Ovis aries: one gene and its partner. Each later gene encodes a partner of the first gene's protein in a complex. Links are inferred from orthologs where the notes say so. Each region holds a gene or a part of one and is shown on either strand. Other genes may lie near its edges.

Region 1 (6,611 bases):
TCTGTAAGATACTCTTTCTTAGAGGCTAATGTGAGAAAATAGAAAGCTGAATCCCACATTTTTAACTATTAGACTTAAGCCCTGGTGTCATCTCCAACATAGAAGCATGTGAATATTATGTAACACTGAACTGAATCTGTTAGCTGTGAATTTGAAGGTTGGCAAGAGGGTGCTGGTTAGGGAAGGCGAGCAGAAAGTCCTGCTTTGCCGGGATTATGATGACATCATAATTCCAGTAGGATTGCAGCTTTATCCCAGATTCTTCTATGATTGGCAAGAAGTAATGGCTTCACTATATCATTAAGGCCAGTAAGAATTGTTAGAGCCAGATAGAATTTTAGTGGCTTTTTAATTTATCACTATTACTGTTTAAAACAGCTCAGTGAGGATATTTGGGGTTTATGGGTGTTTCTCCTTAATGTTTTTAATCTATACTCCAAGTTTTATTCAGTGAATACATGTTATTTTTAAAATCAGGAAGTAGTTTTTAAAATAATTTATGTTGCAGAAATTGCTACTTTGACTATCTCTTTCATTCCAGTCTTGGCCTAACTATGAAGTTATCTTTAAAAAAATAATTGAAGTTGCCACATTCTTAGATTTGCCGCGTTTTCCAGACATAACTGAAAACTGCTATCTTCATCCAAACATCTTGTGTATGAAATACTTGATGGAGGTCAATCTCCCTGGTAAGTGTGAGGTATATATTATGAGTAAGCCTTGACTTATTGAATTATTATGAAAAATGTATTGAATCCTCTCAATCAGAGACTATTAGAGTCACCTGACAGGGTCTACAGTAACATGAAGCTTAACTTCAAAATTCTTTCTTAAAATGTTTTGGACCATTTAAAATGGTTAAAAGGACACTTTCAGAAGTAATGAGTTCTGTTTTGGATGGGAGGGATAAGCTTGAAAGATAATGTTTGGTTTTTACAGTAAATTTTTGCTGAATACAAGTAACACATGATTCAGTATGTATTATTAATTACTTAGGAACCTCTACCAAAAAAGGGCAGCACTCCTTCATTTGCATGAAGCATGATTATTAAATAAAGAATTCCAATTTTTAAAATCCCAGAAGTTAATCTACAGTGATATTTTTATTATTTAGTAACATTGCTATTTCCAGTCCCTGAAACAAATGGAGATGAAGGTCTGGTAGGATGCAAAGGCAGCCTCACTACCCTTCTTCACAATACACCAAGACACAGGTCACCCCAGCGGAATTCGCCGATGGAATCTACTCCTGAATTTCTTGCTAAACTAGAAATGTGAGAACTGCAGGGTTTCTATTCTTAACAGAAAATACAAACATGGCATGACTATATTATTGCTTATGCAGTATAAAAAAATGTGATTGAATATATTTTTAATAGGAAAGGAAAAGACATGTTATATGAAAAAAATATATATAAAACTGCATGTATGATATAATTTTAGCTATAAAAATAAACATAAATTGGAGTAACATGTATACAAATATAAATCTAAGTCTTATAAAATATTTTTTAAAGAGGAAAAAATAAGCTTCTCAAAGGTATCATTTATTAAGCTAAGGAATGTTGCTGTAACTTTAGAAGTCACTGGCTCTTTGATTAAGATTCCAGAATTTGGGAAGTCTGATTTCTGCACTTTGGCATGTTACATATATCAGTTTATTGTTTTGGATTTTGGTTTTTTGAGTTACTTTTGGAGTGGTTCTTTCAAAATATGGCGGGTTCCTCTGTTCTATTATATACTCCAAAATCGTAAGCTCATAATGAAGAACACTAAGATATGGAAAGAATGCAAGGAATTACCAAAATATAACTGGCTTGGGCTGGGTTATGGCAAGTATCTAGCTCACATAGTTGCTATTGGACAGAAACGATGGTGGTAGTGTTTTCTGACCAGTGTGTATAACTTAATAGTATTTCTCACCTAACTCTTCCTGAGAGTAAGAAGTAGAATTAAAACCACTATAATATACAGAGAGATACTGCTATCATCTGATGTTGTAAAGTGCTATTTTAGAGACCATATTAAAAAGAGCCAGGATAGAAAAATTTTACTTCTCACAAAGTGTTCAATAGAAATAATTTGGAATATAGATAAAAAACTATACACAAATGTTATTGACCCTATTTATAATACTGAGAAATCAGAAATAAATATCCAATGGAAAGGTAATGTTTAAGTAAATATTTTGTATATTCAGTAGAACCATGTGCATCTTTTAAAATTATGTTTGTGAAGAGTATATAAAAGCATGGGAAATGTTTATGTCATAATAGAAAAGGAAATAGGCCAAATTATAAATTATATATAATATAATCATAGCTATATAAAATTAAAATATTCATGAAAATATTGGGAATAAATTTATCCCAATATTGAAGTGCTATTTCTAAGTTATAGTAATGCATTTTTTCTTTCTTCCCACTTTATGTATCTTATAAATGTCCTATACTGAGTTTATATTACATAATAGTGGGAGGAAAGAGTAAACAAAATAGATCTACTAACTAAGATGTGGTGGTCCCTTCACCTTAGAAATTGCATTCTAAAATGTGACATTGATTGGCCTCCTACCCATGAAATTATAAGAAGGCTTCTAGAATATTGCCATTTTCAAAGCTGAAAGTTTGCACTCTATAGTTCTCTTGTGCTGTTGATCAAAAAGAAGAGATCTGTGTACTTGGCCCTTTTTCAAAGAGAGGTTTTCGGGTTCCCAGAAAGCTAAAGGTGGTTTTAAGCATGCTAGGGCAACGAATGCCCCTCCTCAGTGCCTTTATGTATGACAATGTCGTCTTTGGAACTGGGCAGAAAGCAGCTTCCAGCAAGCATGTCACACACACACACCCTTGCTGAGTAAGCACTGCCTCCTTGGTGGCTCTGACTGAACTCCAAATACATCCCTTAGTTTTATCCCTCATCCTGGGACTGAGGAGCTGGCCAGAGAGAATTCCTGGCAGCTTTCATAATCATGTCTGTTTAATTTGTGGGGAACCCTGTAGAGTTTCCAAAGTGCCTTCATCTGTATTACCTCATCGTGAAGGTGGAAAGGGAGGACAGGTGGGTGTGCTCATCTCAGATGAGACGTAGGCAGGTTGAGTGACGCCTGGCTGCCGGATGGCCGAGGCGTCATATAATACTCCAGGTCACATAATACTCCAGGTCAGAATCTTAGTTTTTCTCTCCTGTCCTGGCTTCCTTCCTCATAATTTTTTTCATTTGCTTTTTATTACTATGTACTTTTAGTATAAGAGAAGCAATTCAAGGTATTAATTTTAAATAAATAGGGGAGACATTCTTCAAGAAATACCATTTTTATAGTAATAAAATTCTGTATATAATACTTTATATAGAGACATGTATATACTGTATGTAATGTTATTTGGACTGTTATAAAAGTATGGTATACTACATTAAGAGAATAGAATCAACAGAACATAATGACTGACAGTATATAGGAAATGCAATACAACTTATTATGCTCTTGTAAATAACAACTGTTCTACTTGAATTTAATCACAATATAGGTACTTCAGTTAGTAAGTAAAGAAATTTGCTTAGTAATTCAGAGTTTTCAAAGTATAATTCACTTGTCCTATCTTTTATGTCCTGTGTTTATCCTCACCATAACCCATTTTACAAGTGAAGAAACTGAGGTTGAGTGGCTCTAGTCCGGAGTCACAAAGCTCATGATCAGAAAGCCTAAATATATAGGCTGTAGGTGTTCTGGCTCCAAGTCCCAAGTTACTCAGCCTTGAATAATAGATGAGTCTGTGCTGAGCATGTAATTTCTTTGGGAAAGCAGGGCAGCAGGTGAGGTGCACACTGGGCCTTCCAGTGTGCTAGCCAGGCTCCCTAGCTTCCCAAGTGAGTGCACATTTTTAGAGAAGCCCTTGGTCCTACAGGAAAGTTGGTTTCAGGTAAATGCAGATTGCTGTAGAAACACAGACAAGGGGCGTGGATGAAGCAATAGAAGATGGATGTGTGCCTGTATATTTGGTGCCAAGATATGTGCCATAGATAGCAGGCATTTTGGGAAGTCAGAATAGGAGAAGATAGACCTTGCCAGGATTCGACCATATGTTTTTCTCTACACATTTCATTTTTTGGTTTATGTATACACAAAATGGTATGTCTCAGAGTTATGGCATAGTATCATATTTTAAGATAAAGCTTATCTCATGTATGTATACATTAGTATGGTCTCATTAACCAAAGAATTTAATTTCACATTTTTCTGTTTTATTCTTCAACAGATGAAATGCATAATTTAACCTGCCTAGTGGTAAAAGCGACTGGAATAGGAGAAGTGGATTTTCTAAGATTTGATCCTATAGCTAAAAAGGCAAAAACTGTTAAATATGATGTGCAAGCTGTAGCTGTCATTGTAGTGGCATTGAAACTGCTCTTTTTATTGGATGACAATTTAGAATGGTAAGTGTATGTAGTCTTAGGAGAAAAAAATTTTATTATTTTCCCCTAATTATTCAGAGTAAAGGGCTCCATATGTTATGTCTCAGTAGAAAGTAGAGACTCTGAGTTGTTACAGAACACTGACTAGTAGCAGCAGTTACTCCTTACCTAATGTTTTGGCTCAGGTATTTGTCAGAGATTTCATTCTCCTTTAGTAAGTTGTTTGGATCATGTTTTCTTCCATTTTTAGGAAGATGCACATGTGTCTCATTCTCCTGAGTTTTAAATCATACACAAATTCTAAAGAGTCACTAGCACTTCATCCATGTACCTTTTGGTTTCTGGCACTATGTGTCTTCAAAGATTATTTTGGAAAGTGAAAGAATCTTAAAATGCCAACAAAGAGTGGCAGTGTCTTCTTCCCTATTTCAGTGCTTGCTTCTGCATTAAAAGTTGGCATCAGTTTCAAGTACTGTTCTATACTTCTCTTTCAGAAGAATTCAAAATTTAACTGTCTTCTAATGAATGATTTCCAAATAAATTGATTTGTTTATTTGTGTCTCCAGGTCTTTGTCTAATATTGCCAAGAAATATAATGAAAAGAACAAAGAAGGTACTTTTTTTTTAATCAATCAAGTGATTGTAAAAGGTGAATTAAAAGATGCAATAAATATAGAGAAGAAGCTGAGAAATATATAAATTGTACCTTGTATCAGACTGTTTATATGTGTAGTTATCTAGTATATCTTCTATTCTCAAGGAGGTATAGTCAAATCTAGGAGAACAGACATGTAAAAAGATGGTTTCAATATGTGGAATCTAGAAAAATAGTAAAGATCTTATTTGCAAAGCAAAAATAGAAACAGAGCTGTGGAGAAGAAACGTATGATTACCAGAGGGGAAAAGGCAGGGGCGTGGGGTGAATTGGGAGATGGGGATTGACATCTCTACACTGCTATGTATAAGACAGATCACTGATGAGAACCTGCTGCGGAGAACCTGCTGTGGAGCTGCGGGAGCTCTGCTCAGTGCTCTGTGGTGACTTAATTGGAAGAAAGTCCAAAAAAGGGGGATATATGTGTATGTATGGCTGATTCAGTTTACTGTACAGCAGAAACTGACACCACAGTATAAAGCAGCTATATTCCATTTTTTTTTTTTAAAGGTAGTTTTGGTGTAATACAGGGCCACAGTATAGGTGAGAGCTCAGAACAGAAGGGAGTGACAGCAGATTGCTCAGGAGTCATATTAGAGCATGAAGATAGTCAGTCCCTCCATAATTTCCAAGGGCTGGCATATAAATGTTCAGTCAGATCAGTGAGTAAAGACTCAAATGAGCAACATGTGTTATAATAATGTGACATACTTGGTTAATAATCATGGATTTCATTTCTTTCAGATAAACCATGGTTTGATTTCAGAAAATGGTACCAAGTTATGAAGAAAGCTATTGATGAGAAGAAACAAAAGTGGGAGGAAGCCAGGGCAAAGTATGTTACCTCTTCTAGCTTTAGATTCACCTACTTTATTTTTCAAGTCTATTGCTTTACGTCTGAAAGCTCAAGTTTCATCAGTTCAGATTCACCAGCATTATGACCCTTTTTTCTAGAATTAACCCCTCTGTCTAAACTGACATTTTAAAATATTTCTATTAACTATTAGTGAGTGAGTGAAAGTCGCTCAGTCATGTCCGACTCTTTGCGACCCCATGGGCCATTATAGTCCATGGAATTCTCCAGGCCAGAATACTGGAGTGGGTAACCTTTCCCTTCTGCAGGGGATCTTCCCAAACCAGGAATCAAACCGGGGTCTCCTTCACTGCAGGCAGATTCTTTACCAACTGAGCTATCAGGGAAGCCCTATAATGTCCTTTTAGGGGCGTTCCTGGTGGTCCAGTGGTTAAGACACCACACTGCCAATGCAAGGGAGGTGGGGTCCATCCGTGGTCAGGGAACTAAGATCCCACATGCCACACTGTGTGGCCAGAAGATTTAAAAAATAGTAATATTAGTGTCCTCCTGATCCAGAATCCAGTCCAGGCAGCCTGTATTGTACTCAGTACTCGTCTTTTCGTAATCTGCATGACTCTTCTCTGCATTTCTGGTATTCCTCCCTCTTTCGTTTCCCACAGTGGATCAGTTCCCATCTGTGCTTCCCGCTGTTACAAAAGACTGCAGACGTCAGCCTGTGTCATTTATAAC
Region 2 (6,200 bases), about 200 Mb from region 1:
TTTTACTGAGGAGGAAACTGAGGCACAGGGAGGTCAGTAATTTCCTCAAGGTCACACAGCCAGTGAGTGGTAGAACCAAGATTTGAACCCTGAAGACTCCTCTCTACTATTCTGTAACACCTCCCATTAAAAAACTGGTGATCCACAAACTGAAGCCAGGTACTGTGAAAGGGACAAGTGTGAGCTGTCATTACTGGGTCGTGTGACACTCATCACGTCCACTACCCTGGCCAAGGACCTTCCCCAGGGCCTGTCACAGACTCCTGAGCCCACGGCCACAGCAGAATATTCCCACACAAAGGACCCACATGTGCAAGAGCTCACCCTCTGATCACTCTACTCAACCCCCAGCCCTGCCTCAGGGCCTAGCTCGCCTCGTCTTCCTTCTCTGTCTTGGCAACACCCCCTGCAGGGGTCCTGCTCCTCTAGCCCCTACACAAGGCCTGTGGTCAGGCTCTCCCCTGCTTACCTCTCTTCCTTGATACCCCATGGCCAACAGGCAGGCAGGACCTCCTCTGGCCCCCACTCACCTCTGCAGTACTTTCTCATGCTACCTGCCTCTATTCACCCTACATTCCAGCCACATCAAACCACTATAGCTTCTTATGCAGGCCCTGTTGTTTCCCTTCTGCATCCTCACACGACTGCTTCCTCTTCTTACAGGCCTGAGAGAGGCTCAGAGGTCTCCACCCTGGAAAGCACGCGCTGAAGCCTCAGGGCCCTGACTCATCTCACACACACTTCTCTCAACACCACTGTCACTAAACTGTGACTTCCCGTTTGAAGTTTTCCAAACAAGACCTGGTGGTCCAGGACCCCAAGTTCTATTCTAGTGCAACACCTGGCCCACAGCAGAGGGTCTAAAAGCAGACAAACCAGTTCCAGGCCCATCTCCTCTAGGAAGTCACCCTTATTGATTCCAACTCAAGTTTACACTAATGGACCCCAAACCTGATAGGAGAGCGTGCTAAAAATACAGGTTCCCAGGTCCTTCCCCAGACCCGCTGAACAGATTCTCTAGTGAAGGAGCCTGAGAACCTATATTAGCAAAGCTCCCCTGGTGATTCAGATAACCAGCCAGTCTGAGAGCCACCAGTTTACACTAAATGATCTACTAATTTTATTGCTAAATATTCTGATGTCTGTTACTCCCCAAAGCCTGAAAATTCCCCAGGGGCAGAAACCAAGTATTTAACTTTCTCTATATCTTCTCTCAATAATTATTTAAACTTCCCCCAACATTTAAGAATGTGGCAAACTGCTTTCCCTGACATGCATATGCCTTATTTCTTTCAAGATATGAATAATTCAAGAGCAGTCATTCATCCAGCCCTGCTACATTCACAGGAAATGTGAGAGTGTGCCCTCAATGTCTCCACCAGGGTTTCCAAGTGGCAACCTTCCTTGGGAAGCAGCCATGGGGTCGCAAAGAGTCAGCCACGACTCAGCGGCTGAGCACAGCACAGCACAGTTGCAACCATTCAGCCACCAGATGGGGCTAATGAGCTGGAGTGAGACTTCATCCACAAATACCCAAGAAAACATTGTTCAGCTTCTACTACTAAGCACAGGCTTCCCTTGTAGCTCAGTTGGTAAAGAATCTGCCTGCAGTTCAGGAGACCCGGGTTCGATCCCTGGGTTGGGAAGATCCCCTGGTGAAGGAAATGGCAACCCACTCCAGTATCCTTGCCTGGAAAATCTCATGGACACAGGAGCCTGGTGGGCCCCAGTCCATGGGGTCGCAAAGAGTCGGGCACAACTGAACAACTAACACTTACTAAGTGCAGGATTGCAGGCCCATAACTCAAGACAAGCTCCAGCCCTGACTGTCCAAGGGCTTACAGCAGCTGGGAAACCACCAGACAGCCTCTGAGCTCTTAATCTGAAGGAGTGCTACAGCCCCAAAGGGTTGGACAAGAGTCTTAACCTCCAAAGGAAGGCAGGACCCTGGGCCTTGTTTGGAATGCCTGCTCGACTGTCCACCCAACGCATGCCCATCTTCTAAACTTGTCACTCAAGGGACCAGTGGCATCTTTTCCAGTCTTGTGCCCCAAGCGCTTGCCATTCCTCCACCACAATCCACACATGTCTGCCTTCACTTTCCTAGTGCTATTTCTGGCACCTAGGAGACCTTCAAAACCACGTCACTTTATTCTCTTCTCTCCTTTTGTTTCTCTTGTAAAGCATCAGCCTCGTCTGCCTTGGGTTCTGAGTATTTAGAACGGGCTCCCGTTCCCTACTAGACAGTAAACATCTAGAGGACTAGGGAATTGTGTCTTTAATCCTCTTTACACCTCCAAAAGGCATGAGCACAATATCTTATTTGGTGCTGAAAGACTTTAACTTGCATACACTTTATCTGTTTAAAAAACAGATTATGAATTATTCTTCCTGCTGGGTGGCATTCAGCAGACATGAATACTACCCCTCTAGCACTCTACAAGGATGGAAATGTCCTCTATCTGTGCTACCTATCACGGTAGCCACAGAGGCTACTGGGCACGTGAAATGTGACTAAGGAGACAGAAACACTGAACTCCTATCTGCTGCTGTTGCTAAGTCGCTTCAGTCGTGTCTGACTCTGTGCAACCCCATAGATGGCAGCCCACCAGGCTCCCCCATTCCTGGGTTTCTCCAGGCAAGAACACTGGAGTGGGTTGCCATTTCCTTCTCCAATGAACTCCTATCCAGTTTTACTTAATTTAAATGGCCAAATGTAGGGAGCAGTGACCATACCTGTGGTGCAGGCCTAGAGGATCCTGACCCCAGCAACACTGAAATCATCATACGGGGTGCGGCTCTCAACTCACCCAGACCAGCAAGGGGTGCAACCAGGCTGGCAGGAGGCCTCCTGCTGCCAAGTGAGTGAAGAACAACAGTTTCCCGCCCCAATAAGACCCTCCACCGAGTGGTCACCTTCACTCCACAGATAAAGTCCAACACTGTTTGAAAACTTTGGGCAGGGAGCACACAGATTGAGCATCACCGCTCCCCTAGCATATTTATCACCCCACAACTCTGACCCCAGCTTTTCTTTCAAGCCTGTTTCCCACTCCTCTCTTCTCGAAGCACCCCTCCTTCAGGTGTCCACCATTTCCCCCAGCAGCTGGTAAGAAGTCTGAAATAGGGCTCCTTTCTGCAGCCTCTTGTTTCCCTGGGCAGGACCTGCCATGAGAGCAACAGTAACACGCCTGCCCTCTGTGTCCTCCCACTTAAGTCTCGCCAGAACAGAGGAGGAGTTCATCTGACAGGGAAGCCTGGCAGGGAAAGCCAGCAGCTGTGGCCCAGCCTCTTCAAGAGCCCTTGCTTCCTCAAAGCCACCTGTCCTCAGGGGGCTGCTTTTGGATCTGTTCTGCACGAGGCCCACGCCCTCGCAGACACGGCCTCTGACCCCTGCAATGCCTGTGGCTCATGGGTGGACATGTGAGCACCGCACATTTTGACCTGACCTGACTTGGCTACTGGCTGGCTCCCAAATCATGTTGTTCTTCAACAAGTTCCCAACTTGGGAGAGAAAGGAAGGGTTGCTAATTTCAACCCCCTACACCCCCGACCACTGCTCTGTGCTTCCACATTCCTAGTGCAGCCTCAACGTGGAGGGCTCTCTCACTCCCCTGGGCTGGCCCCAGTCTACTCAAGAACCACCTTAAGCCCAGCGGGAGCTGTGGCGGCACCCCAACTACCCAGCCCACAAGGGTCTAGGTCTGATCTTATTGCGTTCATTTTCGTTTCCCCACCTGACGGGCGGTCATCACACTCTGTACACTCACGGTTACTCTCTGCTGTTTATGTCCTATTCCCCCAACAATCTCCCCGAGAACAGGGGTCTAGCACAGCGCCTGGCACATGGGGATGGCGCCGCCTTTGTTCAGCCTGTGAGAAAGGGATGGGTCTGCTGCCAGGCCGGGCCATTATCAACAGCTCGGAGGCTCCCTGTGGCCTGACCAAAGGACACGATGGTGAGGGGGCTCATACTCACGCAATCTGAAGGGCTCGGGTGCCCAGCACGCGGGCTCGCTCATACTTGGTCATATATGGTGTGGTGATTCGTTTCTGGTTGGCCTGCGGTCGCTCTCCAGAAGGGAGAATCTCAACGTTCTCCTGGCCCTCCTGGACACAAAGGCAGAAAAGAGGGGAAAATCTCAGGCTGTATCACTGGGGGTGAGGGGCAGGACAACGACAACAGTGACTGTGAGCGCCTCCACGCTGCATGCCAGTGACCACACAACTGCCTTATTAACACCTCACCTAATCCTCACAAAAACCTTATCAAGTGGGGATTACAATGCTCATTTTAAAGGGCTGGACAGTTAGCCAACGTGGCCAAAGTCTCAGAGCTAGTGAAAGAGGAATCGTGATCAGGAGTCCAAAGCCAGCCGCCTCATCCAGCAGAGAGAGTTGGTCCCATACAAAGAAGTCCTTGAGCACAGACAACCTCACCCAAACCAAGAAGAGGAAGAAGCACCCCATCTTTACACATGTATATATTTAACAACCACTTATTAAGCATCTGTCATGTGCCAGACATGATAAAGGTGCTGAGACGGAGTCTCTGCTCGCCAAGAATTCACAGTCCAGCGAAAAGGCAAGAGTAAACAAAACATCAAGTGCTATGAAAGCGTGGCAGTGTGCCACAAACTACACAAGAAAGCGAGGGGCATCTACCTCATCCTGGGGGTTAGGAATACAGTCCAGAGATGAGACTTGGGCTAGTCTCCAAGGATGAGTACGAGCTGCCAAGCTAACAAGGAAAGAAAGAAAGGGCATTCCAGACAGGCTGAACTGCATATGTGCAAAGACACACGAGGGAAGAGAGTGTACTCAGCCTGGATGCCTAATCATGGGGTATGATAAGCCCAAAAGGTGCAAACAGGGTAGACAGGAGAATAAATTCTGTAATACAAAATTAAGCCAACAAATATTTACTGAGTGCTTACTCTTTGTCAGATAGCATTCTAAGTGCTTGACACAGAGCAGTAAGACAGATGAAAGTTCTTTCTCCCATACAGCTTTACATTATAATACAGTGAAAGTGAAAGTCACTCAGTCCTGTACGACTCCTTGTGACCCCACAGACTATACAGTTCGTGGAATTCTCCAGGCCAGAATACTGGAGTGGGCAGCCATTCCGTTCTCCAGGGGATCTTCCCAACCCAGGGATCAAACCCAGGCAGGTCTCCTGCATTGCAGGTGGATTCTTTACCAGCTGAGCCACCAGGGAAGCCCAAGAACACTGGAGTGGGTAGCCTATCCCTTCTCCAGTGGATCTTCCAACCCAGGAATACAGTGAGATGAACAATAATAAAATAAGTAGTAAAATGTGCAGTATAAAAACAGAGAGAAAAGACAGGGAGTGTCCGAGTGGTGATGTTGGAGGAAGGAGCAAATGCAGTGATTTGAAACAGAATGGTCAGGGAAGGCCTCATTGAGGTGACATGTAACACAGACCTGAAGGAGGCTGAGGAGCAGGTTGTGTGCATAACTAAGGGAAAAGGAAGAGGGAACAGCACGGTCAAAGGTCCTGAGCTGGAACTTCCCTGGCATGACAGCGATACCAAGAAGAGATAAGACCACAGAGGGAGCAGGCGGTCGGATCACGGAGGACCTTGTGCATGTTCTTGGCTTTTATTCGGAATGAGATGAGAAGTGACCAGACGCAGGTTCTGAGCAGAGGAGAGACAGAGTGACTGAAGATTTAAAAGGATCACTCTTGGATACTCTGTTAAGAACGTTCTGTAGAGGCTAAGGGCTGAAGCAGAGAGAACACTGAGCAAGACCAATAGTAACCAATCATGTGGGTAGGAGAAAAAGTCGACTCTGGCAGCAGAAAGGCAAACAGCAGACTCAAGGCAGGAAAACCGGTAACAAGTTTCTGCAGTAATGCGGATGAAAACCAATAAAGATCTAAACCAGGCTGAGGCACTAGGAATAGAGAAACGGGAACAGGACTGAACTACATGGAGGAGGCAGAATCAAGAGGAGAGAGATGGAAAGGCATCAGAAGAACCGAGAAGAAGGCTTCTGACTCAGTGAACAGATAACCTCAGAGTGTTAGGCAGACAGGAAAACCCACACAAAAGAGGGCCTTCACATTACCAATCTAAAAAAAAATCAAAGGATTCCTCTCTCCAGAAGACATAAAGCACTTCTTCCTCCACCAGTCACACAGCACAGAAGACCCTATTTTATCTATGACGCCA

The links. Proteins that work in one complex are often made in the same cells at the same time.
Region 2: TAF1B (region 1) and POLR2F share a complex: the UniProt entries of both Homo sapiens proteins name them as parts of the pol I pre-initiation complex. The link is inferred for Ovis aries from reciprocal best matches to the Homo sapiens genes TAF1B and POLR2F.

The regions. Positions count from the first base shown.
Region 1 is NC_056056.1:19,133,639-19,140,249, forward strand, and holds part of TAF1B (TATA box-binding protein-associated factor RNA polymerase I subunit B), read left to right. Parts: intron 1-541; coding exon 542-689; intron 690-4,253; coding exon 4,254-4,431; intron 4,432-4,976; coding exon 4,977-5,023; intron 5,024-5,809; coding exon 5,810-5,900; intron 5,901-6,611. UniProt on the Homo sapiens protein: Component of RNA polymerase I core factor complex that acts as a GTF2B/TFIIB-like factor and plays a key role in multiple steps during transcription initiation such as pre-initiation complex (PIC) assembly and postpolymerase recruitment events in polymerase I (Pol I) transcription.
Region 2 is NC_056056.1:215,578,425-215,584,624, reverse strand, and holds part of POLR2F (DNA-directed RNA polymerases I, II, and III subunit RPABC2), read right to left. Parts: intron 4,111-6,200; coding exon 3,980-4,110; intron 1-3,979. UniProt on the Homo sapiens protein: DNA-dependent RNA polymerase catalyzes the transcription of DNA into RNA using the four ribonucleoside triphosphates as substrates.